Rattus norvegicus: one gene and its partner. Each later gene encodes a partner of the first gene's protein in a complex. Links are inferred from orthologs where the notes say so. Each region holds a gene or a part of one and is shown on either strand. Other genes may lie near its edges. The genes, in order: Pfn2 and Vasp.

What was found.
Region 2: the proteins of Pfn2 (region 1) and Vasp are in contact, whole or in part, in a crystal structure (PDB 2V8C), measured with the Mus musculus proteins. The link is inferred for Rattus norvegicus from reciprocal best matches to the Homo sapiens genes PFN2 and VASP. Residues at the interface, in NP_062283.1 of Mus musculus: Gly3, Trp4, Ser6, Tyr7, Asn10, Cys13, Tyr30, Trp32, Met131, Tyr134, Ser138, Phe140; in NP_033525.2 of Mus musculus: Gly165, Pro166, Pro167, Pro168, Pro169, Pro170, Gly171, Pro172, Pro173, Pro174, Pro175, Pro176.

What each region holds. Positions count from the first base shown.
Region 1 is NC_086020.1:144,219,918-144,224,442, reverse strand, and holds the start of Pfn2 (profilin-2), read left to right. Parts: upstream 1-1,506; 5' UTR 1,507-1,636; coding exon 1,637-1,768; intron 1,769-3,724; coding exon 3,725-3,917; intron 3,918-4,525. UniProt on the Homo sapiens protein: Binds to actin and affects the structure of the cytoskeleton. At high concentrations, profilin prevents the polymerization of actin, whereas it enhances it at low concentrations. By binding to PIP2, it inhibits the formation of IP3 and DG.
Region 2 is NC_086019.1:88,042,923-88,046,726, forward strand, and holds part of Vasp (vasodilator-stimulated phosphoprotein), read right to left. Parts: intron 3,203-3,804; coding exon 3,028-3,202; intron 2,953-3,027; coding exon 2,787-2,952; intron 580-2,786; coding exon 495-579; intron 1-494. UniProt on the Homo sapiens protein: Ena/VASP proteins are actin-associated proteins involved in a range of processes dependent on cytoskeleton remodeling and cell polarity such as axon guidance, lamellipodial and filopodial dynamics, platelet activation and cell migration.

The DNA of each region.
Region 1 (4,525 bases):
AGACTGCATACTTCCAGGCATGATGAGAATGGACTAAACCTCTGGAACTGTAAGCCAGGCCCCAATTAAATGCTTTCTTTTATAAGAGTTGCTGTGGTCACAGTGTCTCTTCATAGCGATCAGAACTCTAAGACATTATTTTTTTTAAAGCCCAATAAATAAATAATAAATAAAAGTTCAGTGATGCTATTATAAAATTGTCAGTGTGCTCCACAACTTTAAACTTGATGATAGTTTGCAATCTACTGGAGCTTTCTTTCCCTTAATAAGCAGGTCGGGTTTGTCACCTCAAACTGGTCATCGTTGGGGAACATCTGATGCTGAGTCTAGACCCAGCACATAAAGTTAATAAAGATGTAGGAGAATGTTCGGAGACTCTTAAACCATTTCCCACCCTGTCATATACAAGTCTTCCTCGGATGTAGATTCTGAATTATTTTCACCATTTAGTACAGTGGGTCTCAACCTGTGGGCCTCAAACCCTTTGGGGGCACATATCAGATATTTACATTATGATTCATAACTAGCAAATTTACAGTTATGAAATAGCAACAAAATAATTTATGGTTGGGGGGTTAGCACAACATAGGTAACTGTGTTAAGGGGTCACGCTCAGCATTAGGAAGTTTGAGAACCACTGGTCTAGTTCAATGAATCTTTTCTAGCTCGACTATTCTTTGTATTTCGTGGATGTATTTAACGCACAGTAACTTTTCCAGTTACCAAGTACGCATAGGGTCTGGTTTTTTTGTTTTGCTTTGCTTTGCTTTTTTTAGTTAGAATTTCTGGACCGTTGAGCCCCATGTGTGATTAGCAGCACTGCGTTCAGGGCAAAAGCTCCACTGAACCTGGAGTTCCTCGTACTCAAAGGAGGCAACAAAGAGCTGCGCTGCTCCGTTGCCACTGCTCTGATTTCAGGAGCGTGCGAGGCGCAGCTGGCCAAGGTCTTTCAAGAGACACCTCCCCAAGTGTGGGCAACCCGCACTGGCCGCTCCCACTACAAAGAGTAAACCCTCGTCTGCATCCCGTCACCAGGGCAACCCTGCCACCCGACACCGGTGCTGTCAATAAATACCGCGTCCAGGGCTGGCACTTGAGGAGTGAGCACCGCGGCCGCCGTGCACCCAGAGCTCTGGCACCCTACGGCGCCCACTCAAGCTGCCTCGCCTCATAGCCTGCGGTGAAGCCTCCGCCGCCGCGCCCCAGCCCTGCTCCCGCTCGCCTGCCGCACGTGTGGGCCGTGATTGTCCCCGGCGGTATCCCTCCGCGCCCCCGCCTCAGCTCTCCCGCCCTCCCCGGGACCCTCGCCGGCTGCGCTGCGGAAGGATCGCACGCACGCGCGTACACGTCCCGCTGGCCGCGGAGAGCCGAGGGAGCTGCGGTGTGAGTCGGCCGTCGCCAGCCCCGCTGCAAGCGTCGCTCAGCCGCTGGCCCCTGAGCCCCGCGGCCGCGGCCGCCCGGCGCTCCCCGCTGCGGGTCCTGTCCCCGCCCGCCGCAGTTCCCCGGAGAGGGGCGGTCGGTGCCTGCGCAGAGCCGCCTCCTCCCCGCCCCCGCCCCGCCTCCACCGCCGCCGCCGCCGCCGCTGCTGCTGCGCCTCTGCTCCTGCCGTCCCCGCTGCAGTGCGAAGGGCTCGAAGATGGCCGGTTGGCAGAGCTACGTGGATAACCTGATGTGCGATGGCTGCTGCCAGGAGGCCGCCATTGTCGGCTACTGCGACGCCAAATACGTCTGGGCAGCCACGGCCGGGGGCGTCTTCCAGAGCATCACGGTGAGGCCCGGGGGCGCCGAGCCGGCAGGTGTGCGGCGGGCCTGAGGAAGGGGACGCCCGCCCGCGAGGAAGGGGATGAGGCCGGGGCTGAAGGATAGGGTACCGCCGGCTGAGGAAGGGCATGCAGCCGGGGGGGCCCCCGTGCCAGCCGCTGAGCCTGGGGATGCTGCCCGAGGCCGCGCGGGGGCGGGGCGGCCGGACTCTTCGCCCCGGCGGCGCCCCGGCTTGCGGCTGCCAGGGTGGAGGAGGGGACGTCACCCCGGGAGGCCCCTCAGCGTTCGGGGAGCCCGGCGGGCTGCAGTGCAGGTCCCCGGGTGTGGGCGGGAGGTCCTAGGCAGCAGGCTGGCCCTGGCTCGGCAGTGTGCGCGGGATGTGGGTGGCGGCGGTGGCCGGGTCCCGGGAATTAATGGAGTGACTTTGCGTAGGCTTGCGGGTGTCCAGGCCTCCTAGGCTGGAGAGAAAGGTACGCGGACCACGTAGGTGGAATCGTGAATCTACTTCAGCTGTGGCTCTATAGTTTTTTTTTTCCTCCAAGATGGCGAACTGCCATTGATTTCTCTTCTCCACCTATAGAGATTCATCGATATACTGTTATCCCCAGTTACGCAACATAGCTCTAAAAAGGGGATGGTTTAAGGGTGATTTAAAAAAAAAATCTGGGGAGTCGCTGGGGGGGGGTGACACTTCTCAAGTCACTCCCTCTTTAGTGATGGTAGTAAAAGAACTAATACCGATATCTGCTTCACGTTGTCTCATCTTCATGTGACTTGATGGCATTTGACTCGGTTGCCACACGTTTGGAGTATATTCGTCAATCAGCCTCCAGCACTGCTTATTGTTATGCTCGTTTCTATGCAATGCTCTTCTTTAAAATTTTGGCACCAGTATCAAGTACAAGACCATTCCCTTAATTTCTTAGTTCCACACTCCCACTCCCTTCCCATCACCTAGGAAAAATCAAGTCCCATATCACAGGTGCTCAGCATTTTACTACTTAACATGGTTTAATATATCAGTGTGGATTCAGTCCATGATAGGAGTGCTTTAAGATCTCCTGTCCCCATGTGAGAGATCACAATTCCTACAGCGAATTGACATTTGGTGATTTAACTTTTTTTTTCTGCAGTCTTGCCTTTGTGTGTGAGTTCCCGCTGTCTGGCTTAAGAAGATTGCGGGAGTATGCTTGGAAATGGCTGGGGCCTGCTATGACTCTGCAGTTCTGATGGGGGCGACGCCTTCCTTCTTATTCATGGAATGTTAGAATGAACGTATTCTCTTTTCTATTCTGCCGGCTAACTCACTTTCCTTACCAATGCCCCTCCATTTTCTCTCTGATTTTACTATTGGTTACTGCAGTGCTGTAGACAGACTCCACACTGCATTTGTCCAGAAGGAAAAGCTGATTATTGAATGGAAGGGCAAGGCAAGTTGGAGAGAAAAAAGTGGCTAGAAAAATAGGAGGGAAAAACGAACTTGGAAATGCCCCACAGTGATGGAGGTGGTGTTTGAGGCTCACACTGCCAGGGATATTTCAATCTGCTCGAAACAGAGAAGTGAGCAGGTTTATCTGGGTAGACTTTCACTCAACTTTAACTTTGATGCAACATGACTAATGTGGCTGAATGTGACAGACAAGCTTTTGTAAGAGCTTATAGCTGAATCTTTACAATTACATAAGCACCTTCAAGTAGCACCTGACTTGATATAGTTTATAAATAACTCAATTTCAGTTTGTAGCCGGTGTCAACTGCCAACTGTTTAGGGAGACTCTTTGTACCGTTGCTATACTCTGGCTTTTAGTTAGCAGACCTCACTGCAAAAGCAAACTAATGTGTAAATCATGTAACCGTGTAATGATAAAAACAAGAACAATCAAGATATTTACATCAGCACACAGTTTGTTGTATCAAATTCTGATTAACTGTAATTTTTTTCTTCTTTGTTTTGGGTGGCCAGCCAGCAGAAATAGATGTGATTATAGGAAAAGACCGGGAAGGTTTCTTTACCAATGGTTTGACTCTTGGAGGAAAGAAGTGCTCTGTGATCAGAGATAGCCTATACGTTGACTCGGACTGCACAATGGACATCCGGACAAAGAGTCAAGGTGGGGAGCCAACATACAACGTTGCTGTTGGCAGAGCTGGGAGAGGTAAGCAAGCTGGTTTTTTGTGCCTGAAAGTTGCATGCCACGTTAGAACTTGGGTTTCTTTAATGGTTTAAGTAAAGATTCGTTCCTAGAGACTCTTAAGGGGGTTTGTGAGCTGCTCAGCACTGAAGGCTGGCACTGCTACCATCTCGTCTGTTTCAGAGTGGTGCGTACGCGCCTCACTCCTCCCCCTGACTGCTGTAAACTGCCACAGCTTTAGTAATCTTAACAATGGAAAGTTGCCTCTTAAGCCGTCATGTTAGGATGCTGGGGTATATGTGGTTGTTAAACTGTTCTGGTCACTTAGTTATTTTTGTGTCTAATTAGTCTTGTAGAGCTCTCCTTTAATGTTTCCTTAGATTTGAAATCCGTTCCCTGCTCATCATAAAAAGGAAACAATCACATTGTTTTATTTTTCTGCCAGGAACATTTCGGAAGAAGAGAGAAATAATCTAGAGTTTTAGAGTACATGTCCCATTTATTAAAATACTTCCAAAGAATGAGATTTTAATTTGAAAAGTAGGAAACTACATGCAGTTTATATACTTGGCCCACAAACTCTGGTACCAGTTTCTAGACTTGGTAATAAAAATTCTGATCTCAATATGGCG
Region 2 (3,804 bases), on another chromosome or scaffold:
ATGGGGGGGAGGGATTGTGCCAGAATGGTTCATTCCCTCATCAGATTCTTTGGGGTTAGATTTTCTTTTTCTTTTCTTCCCTATTTAGACAAGGTCTCACTGTGTAGCCTAGGGTAGCCTGGAACTTTGCAGACCAGGCTGGGTTCAAACTTGCAGACCCACCTGCCTCTACCTTCTGAATGGCGGGAAAGGTGTGCAGCATCATGTCAGTCCCCTACTGATTTCTAAGGCCGCTGAAATTCACTACATAGCCCAGGCTGGCCTTAACTCTTGGCAACCCTCCTGCCTCAGGCTCCCATGTCCCGAGATGACAGGTTGAGCGCCACCACACCTAGTTTTGCAGTACGTTTCTTCATCTCCGGGAGCTTGGCCACTGGTGTCTGAATGCTGTTTACCTCTAGACTCATGGCCCTCTCACCTTTCTAGAAAGTGAAAACTGGCAGGTTCTGAACTCTGGGAGGTATGGGGTGCCCAGGAGGAGGGAGGGTCCCCACCTTTTCTGTTGTTCCAGCTCCTCTGGGGAGGGGCCATTCTGGGTAGACCAGGCAGGGGGTGCTGGGGCAGGGGGAGGCCCACCTCCTGGAAGGTGAAGAGAAAACCACAGTAAGACAACAGGAGCTCGATCTTCCCTCAGTCCCCTCCCCTCAGCCGGATGCCATCCCAGTGAACCAGAGGCCCTGACAGCCCTCGCAAGGAGTGGCCTCCCTGGACACCGAGATCCAGTAGTTGCTAAGCAGGTTAGAAATCTGCAGGAACAATCAATCACATTTCCAGCTCGTAGGGACTAACCACAGGCCTCCACTACCAATGGCTTCTCCACAGACAGAGTGGGTAAGCTCTTCCACCAATACTAATAAGGCGGTGAAGCCAACACCTCAGCCGTTGGGTGTTTTCCGTCTACAGAAAGCAGAGCAGTCTATCTAATAAAAAAATTTTTAAAAAAAGCACATTTACACACACACACACACACACACACACACACACACACACGAAAGAAAGAAAGAGAGAGAGAGAGAGAGAGAGAAAGAAAGAGCAGTCACCTAGGGCACGGCTTTGAAAGTGCTGTCCGAGGGGGCTGGGGACGTGGCTCAGTGGTAAAGCACCTGGAGAACCTGTCCGAAGCCACCCCCATTAAATCACCAGCATCAAAAAAAAAAAAAAAAAAAAAAAAAAAAAAAAAAAAAAAGACAGGATCTTGGCATCATTAGGAAACTTGAAAGAATAAAAATAAATAAATAAAGGAAGTCTTGTTCCCTGCACTCCAGCCTGTACTTGACCCAGATCACCACATGGGCTGAATGTTTCCAGAAACAGAAATACCATGTATCTGGGCACAGGGCGCACGCCCTTGATCCCAGCACTCAGAAGGCAGAGGCAGGCGGATCTCTCTCTGAATCTGAGGCCAGCCCAGTCTACAGTAAGTTTCAGGACAGGCAGGGCTACCCAGAGAAATCCTGATGAGAGGGGGGCGGGGGGAGGGAGGGAGGGAGACACACAGAGACAGAGAGAGAGACAGAGAGAGAAAGGAAAAAGAAAGAATGGGAGGAAGAAGGAGAAAGGAATAAAAGGAAAGAGGAAGGAAGGAAGGGAAGGGAAGGGAAATTTAAAGACAACGTAGAGACTTTATTCTGGACTGCGATGGCACCAGGCTGACACACAGCAGGCAGCCCTGCAGCACTGAGAAGCTGTCCTAAGCCACCTAAGAACCTTGCTTTACAGCAAATATGGCTGTGGGGCCCAGAATGGCCCAGAACTCTCCATCCTCTCACGCCTCACCTTCTCTCTCAAAGGCTCACATTACACGTATGCACCATGACCAACACAGGCAACACAATGGAGGCTGGACAGACAGATGTCTTGGTGTGGCAAGTGGTCAAGGGAAACCTGCTATCATCTCTGAGTGGGGTCCTCACCAAGCGCTGACAGCTCCCATTAGTCTTCCTCCATGGGTTAGTTGATTTCTAGGTAGGTAGACTTAGACCCTGAAGGGCAGGGTAGCAGCTTCAGCCTGCAGAACGCTGCTAAGGGGGCTCTCCTGCTCACCCCAAACCCCAGTCCGTTTGGTTGTTTGAGACAGGGTTTCTCTGTGTAGCCCTGGCTGTCCTGAAACTCACTGTGTAGACCAGATCAAGAGATCCACCTGCCTCTGCCTCCTGAGTGCTGGGACTAAAAGCATGAATGACTACTATGTGTTTTGTTTTTCATTTTTATATGTATGGGTGTTTTGCCTATACATGAATTTCTGTGAACCACATATGTGCCAAGTGCCCACAAAGGCCAGATGTCAGATCCCTTGGCACTCTGAGCCACCTGGGGGTGCTGGGAGTCAAACCCAGGTCCTCTGGAAGAGCAGTAAATGCTCTTAAGCACTGAACCATCTCTCCTGTCCTCCAACACATACACATACATACACATACTCACACGCGCGCGCGCACACACGCACACACACACACACACACACACTTTTGAGATAGAGCTTTATGTAGCTCAGGCTGTCTCACACTTCCCGTGTAGCTGAGGATAGCCTTAATCTCATTATCCTCCCTCCTCTACCTGCTGAGCGCTGGGACAACAGGCACCAAGTTCATGCAGTGCTGGGGACTGAATGCAGAGCCACACACAGGCTAGCTGAGCTCTCTACCTACAGACCTACATCCCCAGTCCCGATCTTATTTGTAACAGAGTCTTGCTTCGTCCTCCAAGCCCGCCTGGGACTTGTTACAATCCCTGTTCCTGTCCCTTTATCATAAAGTGAGCCCCAGCTCCATCCCGCCTGCCCATCTAACCTTCCAAGGCCTCCAGGGCATTGGCCATGCCGATCGCAAACTGCGCAGCGTCCTCCTTGCTGCCGAAGTTGAGGCCCCAGACCTGGCGGGCATCACGCCACTGGTGGAATATGGGAGTGGCCTGATTGTACTTGACACCTCGAATGATGGCACAGTTGATAACCACCTACAAGAGCACACAGGTTGGTGGGGGCTCAGTGGCAGGGAGGCAGGGAGGCAGAGGGACAGAGGGAGCCTGCACCTGCTGGTCAGGCTGCAGCTTGCGGCCAACAACTCGGAAAGAGTTAGCAGTGGGGTTGTGGTAGATCTGGACGCGGCTAAAGGCCTGGGGACCGGTGCCAGCAGGAAGCCATCGTTTGTTGCTGTCATCGTAAAGCATCACAGTAGCCCGGCTGGAACAAATGACCGTCTCGTTGCTAGGGGAGAAAGCAGAGGGACCAGTCACATTCTTCTTAGATCCATACAGTACATGCAGAAAACAAACTGCAGCCTGTACATGAATGTGCGGGGATGTGGTTGTACATGCATGCCTGGGGGGGTGTTGCTCAGTGGTTAGAGCCCCTGCCTAGAATCCCCCAGGGAGGGGCTGGGGGCGTGGTAGAGTGCTTGCCCCCAGCATGCTCGCTCCGGCCCCTAGTTGAGCCCACAGTACTATAAAAGAAGATAAATTGACAGCTGAGTGCACTGTAGGGAAGAGATAGGCCACACACAGGAAGAGGCAGAAAGAGATAAAGTAGGGTCCATAAGACTTGAGCTGGGGGCTAGGCAGCTTGCTCAGGTCCTGGGCTCAGCCTCTACAGCCTTAGTCAAAAATGGAAAAGGCAGAGTCGCCAGGACTAGCAGACAGCAGGGAGTCAGCTGAGAACAGCCTCTGCCTGGCCTCAGTTTCCCCATCTCTCCCACCTCTCCACTCCCACCTCTGCCCCCAGCTCAGGTCAGATAAGAAGGGCAGGAAGTGTGAGGACAAATCCCAGGACCCTGGGGATGTTTCCCCTGAGGCGGCTTTTACTGGCCACCT